Linked DNA regions of Daphnia pulex. The protein of the gene in region 1 binds, or shares a complex with, the protein of each later gene. Links are inferred from orthologs where the notes say so. Each region holds a gene or a part of one and is shown in the gene's direction. Other genes may lie near its edges. The genes, in order: eukaryotic translation initiation factor 3 subunit J-like and eukaryotic translation initiation factor 3 subunit L-like.

Region 1 (3,481 bases):
AAAAAGTGAAGTTAAGCCATAATTTTAGAAATATGAGGGCGGACCTGAATGCCTTGTAGACAGGTCGAAACCAGCAAAGATAAGAAGCTGGTGTGAAAAGGATGCAGTATAGGATTGACAAGCCAAACATGGCACCACTTCCCACTTGAATGAATAAGGCTAAGCAGCCCAAAACATTTAGAAGATACATGAGGGTGTGCACTGAAAATAAAGAAACAAAACAAAATCAATAAAAGTTTCTGATAACAAAAATAAACTTAAACAAGAAATCTATGATATGTTTAACTTACGCATCCAAATATAGTATAACATGCGGACAATTTTTTGAAATTCAAGTGGGATTTCCACATTGATGTCTTGATAGAAGCATGGTTGGACACAAAACTTGTCAGGCAGTGGTGGCCAATTATTGCGCTGAGCTGTAATGAAGAAGTAAATAACAGAAATTAAAAAGTAAAGTTTCATTTAAATTTGTTCTCTCCTACAGTTGAATGGTACATTATTCTTTAATTCTTCTTCTCGCCTCTGCAATTCTTGAGCTTTCTTCTCTAGTTCTTCTTGACGTCTCTATAAAACCATGCAATATAATGAATAAAGATTTCCTTCTTTCTTTTTAAGTTTTAATACTTGAAAATCCGCATTTGACATAGCTGCTTGTTGTTGTGGTCCTGGAGATATCACTGGGGCAGCTTGAATTGTTGGGGGTGGATTGGCTCCACCAACACGGTCCTTAAATTTTGTAACAAATCAAACACACTTCCCACTTTCATGATAAAATTATGTTTTACCATTGAAACTCTGGTAGTTTGATTACTACCATCAAAAGGGTTGTATTCTTCAAGACCTTGCTGAGCTCTCGCAGCATTGTTTCCTGCAGCTTGCTGGACAGATGGATCCTATTGTGAAAGTAAACAACCACTTTACCACTAAACTAATAAACAAGGTGATTTTTCAAAAGGTTTTCTTTCATATTGTATGCGGCGAGTACTCCATGAATCACCAGTTTTCAACCAAGGTATTAGTATGGTAATAGTAAGTATAATATACATATTATAAATAATCTACCGCAAACGGGTTGAAAACAGCCGGTTCTGCAAAAGGATTCTGATCAAATCCAGACATTATCAAATATTTCTTTTTTTAACTTCGGTCACTTTGTTACTCCAATTTGCGGTAACTTTTGTTTCGACGGTCACCGTGAAACGTCAACTCAACTAATACAGACAGAAACTCCTATCAATTGCTAAATAACAGGTAATGTCAGAGAAAAGCAGTTCGGAAACAGGCAAACACTAGCGCCTCTGGAAGACAGAAACACTAGACTAAGCAACGCTGGGATTAACGAGATATCTCAGGTAAAAAAAATTAAATAATTCATAATAAAAGGTTTGCAATAAAGTTTCAAAATTTAATTATTGTTAGGTTTCTATATTTAATATTTTGTAATGCACATATTAACATTATTAGAAAAGTGAAAGCATTTGGCAACTGCCATGGACACTAGTGTGTTCACGATTTTTCGTTGAAGATGGAGGCCGAGGCGGATTGGGGTGATTTTATTTAATTATTTCTATATTAAGTTATTCAATTCCACCTGTTTTTTGTATGAAATTCTCAATAGTGCATATCAAAGTTCCATTTAATCGTATACTCTAATCAAATACGATTTTGTGGTGATTATAGATGCCGAAGATTTTGAACCCTCTGTCCCTGTTCCAGTTACGACTGCCATAATTTCAGATAAATGGGAAGGTGAGGATGAAGATGAACCTGTCAAGGTGAGTTGTAATTCAATTGTGATGATATTAGTAGTAAGTATATCTACAAATTTGGTAGAACCTTGTAGCGCTTGTAGTGAAAAAAAGTTCTCTCAGTACCTTTCTATTTCTGCTCCAATTCTTACAACTTTCACTTGACTACCATGTGTCTTCTTTTGCCAAAAAATTCTTATTGCTCAATGAGTTTTACATAAAGTTGTGATTGATTTCAAAATTATCATTTTTTCTTGTTTATAAATGATAGGATAGCTGGGAAGATGAAGAAACAGAAAATAAGCCTGCTGAAGTCAAAGCAGCAGCCACAGTAAGTACATGTGATCTCTCGTAAAAGTATCCAAAAAATTTAAAATGTGTTTGTTACTTTCAGGCTACCAAAAAAAAGTCAAGTAAAAGATTAGAAGAAAAAATAGCCGAAAAAGAAAAGAAAAGCAGAGAAGAAGCTGAAGCCAGAAAAATATTGCAGGAAGCAAACATGACACCTGAAGAGAGAATAGCAGAAAAGCTTCGGAGACAAAAACTAGTTGAAGAATCAGATTTTGAAATGGCCAAGGAAACCTTTGGTAAGTTGTCTTAGGAAACTGTATTGCTGACCTGCACTAAGCATGATTTGTTTTATATTTTGTTCTCAATGTTATTTTTATTTTCCAGGAATTACTGGTAGTTTGCCTACAGAGGGAAGCATAGATGAAGCAAACCCTTCATCTAAAGAGGAATTCTCAGAATTCAAGAACAACTTGGTGAAAAAACTTCAGTCATTGTCAACTAAAGCGTGCTATAATGATTTTATAGAGGACTTCATTAAAGATGTTTGCATTGGATGTAAGTCACATTTTCTAATGTTGGTTGCTAAAAACTTTTCTACATCCCAGTTTTTCAACATAGTGGAAGTCGAAGTCCTTAGAAAAGTTAGTCTAACTACCAAATCCTTGCACGAAGAAAAACTCAAGATGGTGAAGGCGGCGACAAAAGGTGGAAAGAAAGGAAAAACAAAAGTTGCTTTAAAAATGGACAAAGGAATGGTCGACAACTTCGGTGATGATTTCGGAGGAGGAGACTATGACGACTTCATGTAGGGTCCAATTGTTTTTCTTTTGTTTTTGGCGGGAAAAGGTTTATTGGTAAAATAAATGTATGATTTTGCCATTTTGCTCTTGTCAGTTTTTTCAGTGTTTTAAGATATATTGAGATTGAATTTCTGTTAAAAGTTAAAACCTCCCTCTTAATTATTCTAATTCAATATATAGAGTTAAGTTGCATATTTTCTTAGACGTTCCAGTTTTCTACTTTTAGCGTCAAAAAAGGAGATGGTGACAGTTGTAAAGTTAGATGTAGTTAGATGTATTTGTCCCATTGAATGCTACACACTGTCAAAAGTAAGCAAATAACTTTCAATATTTATTTTTTTAAATTTGAGTTTTGAGTACCCCGCAAATTTGTATACTGGTGAATCCTTATTTGATACCCAGTGGGCGTAAGAGAGGGGATTAGGGGGGTTTTGTTTTTAAAATGTAATGGAAATCGTTGCCGTGGCAGCCGGCTGCATGCCTAATCAATAAATGAAGCACGTGCGTTTCCTGCTGAGTAGCAGACTAGTAGTGGCATAAAAGTGGTTGTTTGGTCGATACTTCTAACTCGTTATATGGCGTTTCACTGTGAGAAAGTTCGTTAATGAATTTCTGGAGTGATAGAGCACAAGTTGAGCA
Region 2 (4,311 bases), on another chromosome or scaffold:
CGGACAACAAAGAAAAATGGCGGACTAGCGCCAAATGGGCATAAAAAAGGTGTCTTGCACACCGGTCTTTCACTGCAGCAAACCATGTCAAATATCTTATCATTCTAAAATAATGAAAATATAATATTTACCTTGGCTCCAATCTGGTTACCACACTGTCCAGCTTGAATATGAACGATTTCACGCATTTTCTAATATTTTTCGAAATGAAATTGAAAGAGAAAAACTCTCAAGTTTAACGGTCAACGTGCCTCGCGCTGGAATCCTCTGGATATGAATTTCCGTTTGCAATGGGACTGGCATTTATAACCTCATGAACAGCCTTGGGTGCAAGAGGGCGGAGCTTGATTGTGTTGCGCATTGCCATTGGTCCACGAAATCAAACATGAAAGCCAAATCCTTATTGGGAGATTCGAAATTTGCGTCCGCGCGTTTCGGTTATTTTTTGCTCCTAGAGATGCAGAGTTTATATGTTTCTGTATATAGTTGGCTGAATATTAAAAAACGGAGATATGACCCAATCAAAATTCTAAATAAGTAGAGAAATATTTGCAGGGCAACGTTTTTGGTTTGTCTCTAGTTCCTTTTATTGAACGTTATAATCTTAAACTTCAAAAAATGCCTGCTTCCATTTAAGTTCAGTAAAATATTAGAATTAAATATAAAGTTTCGATTAAAGATAAGATAACCCACTTATTGTCATCGGTGTGGCGAATATGGTAAGAAATAACACGCTTTGAAAATTCATTCCTTTTCCGTGGTTGGTATGTGATTGAAATATTGCCAATTACGTCTCTAAAAGGAAAGAAAACCGGGAACCGTATAAATTCAAAAACCAGTTTGTACGGCATCATGGTTTGCGATTTTCGAGTTGATTTCAAAGTAATAAAACCTGTTCGGCACTATTAACCATTGACTCCAGCATAGTTTTATGTAATCCTGCTTAAATGCATTAGGCATAATGGTCACATGAAACCACAAAACACTTATTCCAAACATGGCAAATAATCACCATGACAGCAGTACACACATGTATGCCGGTGAATCACGCGACAGGGGACGAGCCGGAGCCGGCGAGAAACGTAAAAACTCGGTCCCAGTTGTAGCAGACCTCTGCCAGACACGATCAATACTTATGTGTCTAGACAACCCATCCTGCAACTGCAACAAATCCACCTCAGCAGTGTTTTTATGGTTCCTGGGAAACACAGCCTGAATGCAGCTATTGGAGTGCTTGATGTCTTCATCCGTAAATTTGAAACAATTTTGGTAACCATTTTCTTTGAATATTTACTTCCTGATCAACTTTTGATCATGATTTGATATACTTGCTATAAAACAGAAAAACAGAATTGTAATGGCAGTCCCGTTTAGCATTGAAATCTGTTAAGTTTAAGGTAAATTAATCTCAACCGGAGTAAATAAGTTTGACGATCGATTTTTACATTCGAATTTTTGACAGATGATCTTTTGGAAAATTGTTGAGTACATGCGGCAACGCTGTGCAGCTACTATTATTTGACACTAGAGCCACTAGTAATCGAAATAGTAATCTTACTCGTGGACTTTTCTCAATTTTCCGCAATTTTCAATTGAAATTTAATAACTATCGGTATTGAAAAACCTAAAAGATGTATGCCGAAGAATTTGAGGATGTAAGTGTACAATAATTACAACATGTTCTGTACCTATCATCAAAAACTTTTTCATTTGTAGTACGAGTATGAAGCCGATGCCTATGAGCCAACCGGGGATCCACGGCTTGATGCTGAAAATGAACGATACACTAGCTATGGAAGTGCTCCCCAATATGCTCAATATAGCATGCCGGATGTGATCAAGAAATTCATTATTTATTTTCGAGAGATGGTAAACTCTGGAAAGTTGTATGAAATTCAGAATGTCTACGAGAACACGTAAGCCCACCACAGTGCCTGTCAGACAAAGTTGAATTGTTGATCCATTGTTTTTTACTCCATTTAGATTTCCAAAATTAACTGAAGAGCACTTCAAATCATCCCCTTGGCCTGATGCAGATGAAGTTTCCCCATTAGTGGATGATGATCAACCGTTTCTGATTCTCTACAAGGAACTTTACTATCGCCACATTTATGCACGAATCCAAGGAGGACCAACAATTGAACAACGTTTTGAGTCTTACTACAACTACTGTCAACTTTTCAACCATATTTTGAGTACTAACTTCACTAATTTTTAGATGTTTGCCCAAAGCCTTCATAAACCATTTTACTACAGGTGCTAAAAGTCCAGTTGTTTTGGAGCTTCCTCATCAATGGCTGTGGGAAATAATTGATGAATTTGTCTACCAGTTCCAGTCTTTTGCTCTTTTTCGTTGTTCTCTTCATAAGAAATCAGGTACACCCATCATCTTATGCTCCATCTTTTCTTTTCTCACCATTTTTTTTTTTTTTTTACAGCTGAAGAACTTGAATTCATCAGAATCAACCCAACTTTGTGGAACATTCATTCTGTATTGAATGTGTTGTATTCTTTGGTTGACAAATCCAATATCAACCAACAATTGGAAGTAAGAAGGAGAGAATCATTATTGGTTGTAATTTAAAATTAATACAATCGATATGTAGGTATACGCCAAAGGTGATGATCCCGATACCGTAGCAGGAGAATTTGGCCGCCGACCTCTTTATAAAATGTTGGGTTACTTCAGTCTTGTTGGATTACTGAGACTCCACTCATTATTAGGAGATTTCTATCAAGCTGTTAAGGTTCTTGAAAATATGGAACTCAATAAAAAGGTAAGCGCAAAATTAAAAATGATTTGCATTGCTTGTAAACGTAATCCATCAATCTCATTTTAGACTCTGTACTCCAGAGTACCTGCCTGCCAAATCTCAACTTACTATTATGTTGGTTTTGCTTATTTGATGATGAGGCGGTATGCTGATGCTATTCGGACGTTTTCCCATATTCTACTCTACGTCCAGCGCACTAAGCCATTATACCAGGCTAAAACATACCAAAATGACCAGGTCAATTAGATTTAAGTGAAATGAAATACTGAAATCTTAATCTCCTTTTTTGTGTTTATAGATCAACAAACAAACCGAAAAAATGTACGTTCTACTGTCGGTGTGCCTCGTTCTTCATCCTCAGCGCATCGACGAATCTCTACAGGCGATCCTGCGAGAGAAACCTCATGCCGAACGCATCGTGCGGATGCAAAAGGGAGAACTTCAAGTGAGTTTCTGTTGATATTTTTTAAAGTTAAAGCAACAATTTAAATTTGTTCAATTATGTTAGGAATTCGAAAATGCATTCGCTTTCGCTTCTCCGAAATTTTTGTCTCCTGTTCCACCTCCTGTCGAAGCACCACCTGCCGATCATCGCCGTGAACCATTTCAACAGTTGGCAAAAGTTTTCATGGATGAAGTACAACAGCAACTTACTTTGCCAACGATTCGCAGGTATTTGTTCAACATTAGATTTGAATGTCCGAGTATTATTAACATAAATTTTCTGTTTAGTTATCTACGTTTGTACACTACTATGCCTGTCGCCAAAATGGCTGCGTTTTTGGAAATGCCCGATACTGATTTCCGCACCCATCTGCTATGCTTCAAACATAAGATGAAGAACGTCGTTTGGACTAAAGGCACCTCTGGATTGGACGGTGAACTCCAATCAGGCTCTGAGGTGAAATATCTTAGAATTGTAGTTCTAGTGGAATGTATCTTATTTACGCTTTTGCTCGCATTAGGTGGACTTCTATATCGATGGCGGAATGATCCATATTGCTGACACGAAAGTAGCTCGGCGCTATGGTGATTACTTCATTAGACAAATCCATAAATTCGAGGAAATTAACCGCGTATTGAAGACACAAAAAGTTTAAAAATCCGATGCTTTACCTCCTTTAAATATGTTTTACATCTTATTGGTTTTTCAAAGGCAAAATACATAACATGGAGGAAGTTAGTGATTTTTAACTTTTTTTAAAGAGAATTTTTTTCTTACCTTTAAGTCCGACAAGTTACAAGGAAGTCAAATGAAATGAATGTAAGGCCACCAGTGATGTTATGTACGTTTCTCTTATTTTTGAATGTATTCAAATGATAAGATTATTTTTATTAGAGAACATTTTTTAAATAATTGGACCGAAGATCTTACTAGAAATGTAGACCATTGGCATCCTCATAGGAAATGTAAAAAAAAAAAAATGCTATCTAAAATCAAACAAGGGGAATTCAAACACACAAGGGCAATTTGAAAATTTTCAGTTTCAGTCAAAGCATCAGTAGGGAATATGAGTTTTTTTTTCATGAAAAAAAG

The links.
Region 2: eukaryotic translation initiation factor 3 subunit J-like (region 1) and eukaryotic translation initiation factor 3 subunit L-like share a complex: the UniProt entries of both Homo sapiens proteins name them as parts of the eukaryotic translation initiation factor 3 (eIF-3) complex. The link is inferred for Daphnia pulex from reciprocal best matches to the Homo sapiens genes EIF3J and EIF3L.

The regions. Positions count from the first base shown.
Region 1 is NC_060019.1:7,843,335-7,846,815, reverse strand, and holds eukaryotic translation initiation factor 3 subunit J-like, read left to right. Parts: upstream 1-1,463; 5' UTR 1,464-1,528; coding exon 1,529-1,550; intron 1,551-1,683; coding exon 1,684-1,778; intron 1,779-2,022; coding exon 2,023-2,082; intron 2,083-2,145; coding exon 2,146-2,338; intron 2,339-2,426; coding exon 2,427-2,597; intron 2,598-2,660; coding exon 2,661-2,851; 3' UTR 2,852-2,925; downstream 2,926-3,481. Other genes in the region: secretory carrier-associated membrane protein 2-like, read right to left, coding at 45-201, 291-419, 486-567, 628-729, 789-896, 1,066-1,122. UniProt on the Homo sapiens protein: Component of the eukaryotic translation initiation factor 3 (eIF-3) complex, which is required for several steps in the initiation of protein synthesis.
Region 2 is NC_060018.1:1,452,565-1,456,875, reverse strand, and holds eukaryotic translation initiation factor 3 subunit L-like, read left to right. Parts: upstream 1-1,485; 5' UTR 1,486-1,631; coding exon 1,632-1,655; intron 1,656-1,716; coding exon 1,717-1,916; intron 1,917-1,983; coding exon 1,984-2,195; intron 2,196-2,256; coding exon 2,257-2,376; intron 2,377-2,438; coding exon 2,439-2,548; intron 2,549-2,606; coding exon 2,607-2,777; intron 2,778-2,840; coding exon 2,841-3,011; intron 3,012-3,072; coding exon 3,073-3,219; intron 3,220-3,282; coding exon 3,283-3,446; intron 3,447-3,506; coding exon 3,507-3,675; intron 3,676-3,739; coding exon 3,740-3,874; 3' UTR 3,875-3,957; downstream 3,958-4,311. Other genes in the region: tubulin beta chain, read right to left, coding at 132-188. UniProt on the Homo sapiens protein: Component of the eukaryotic translation initiation factor 3 (eIF-3) complex, which is required for several steps in the initiation of protein synthesis.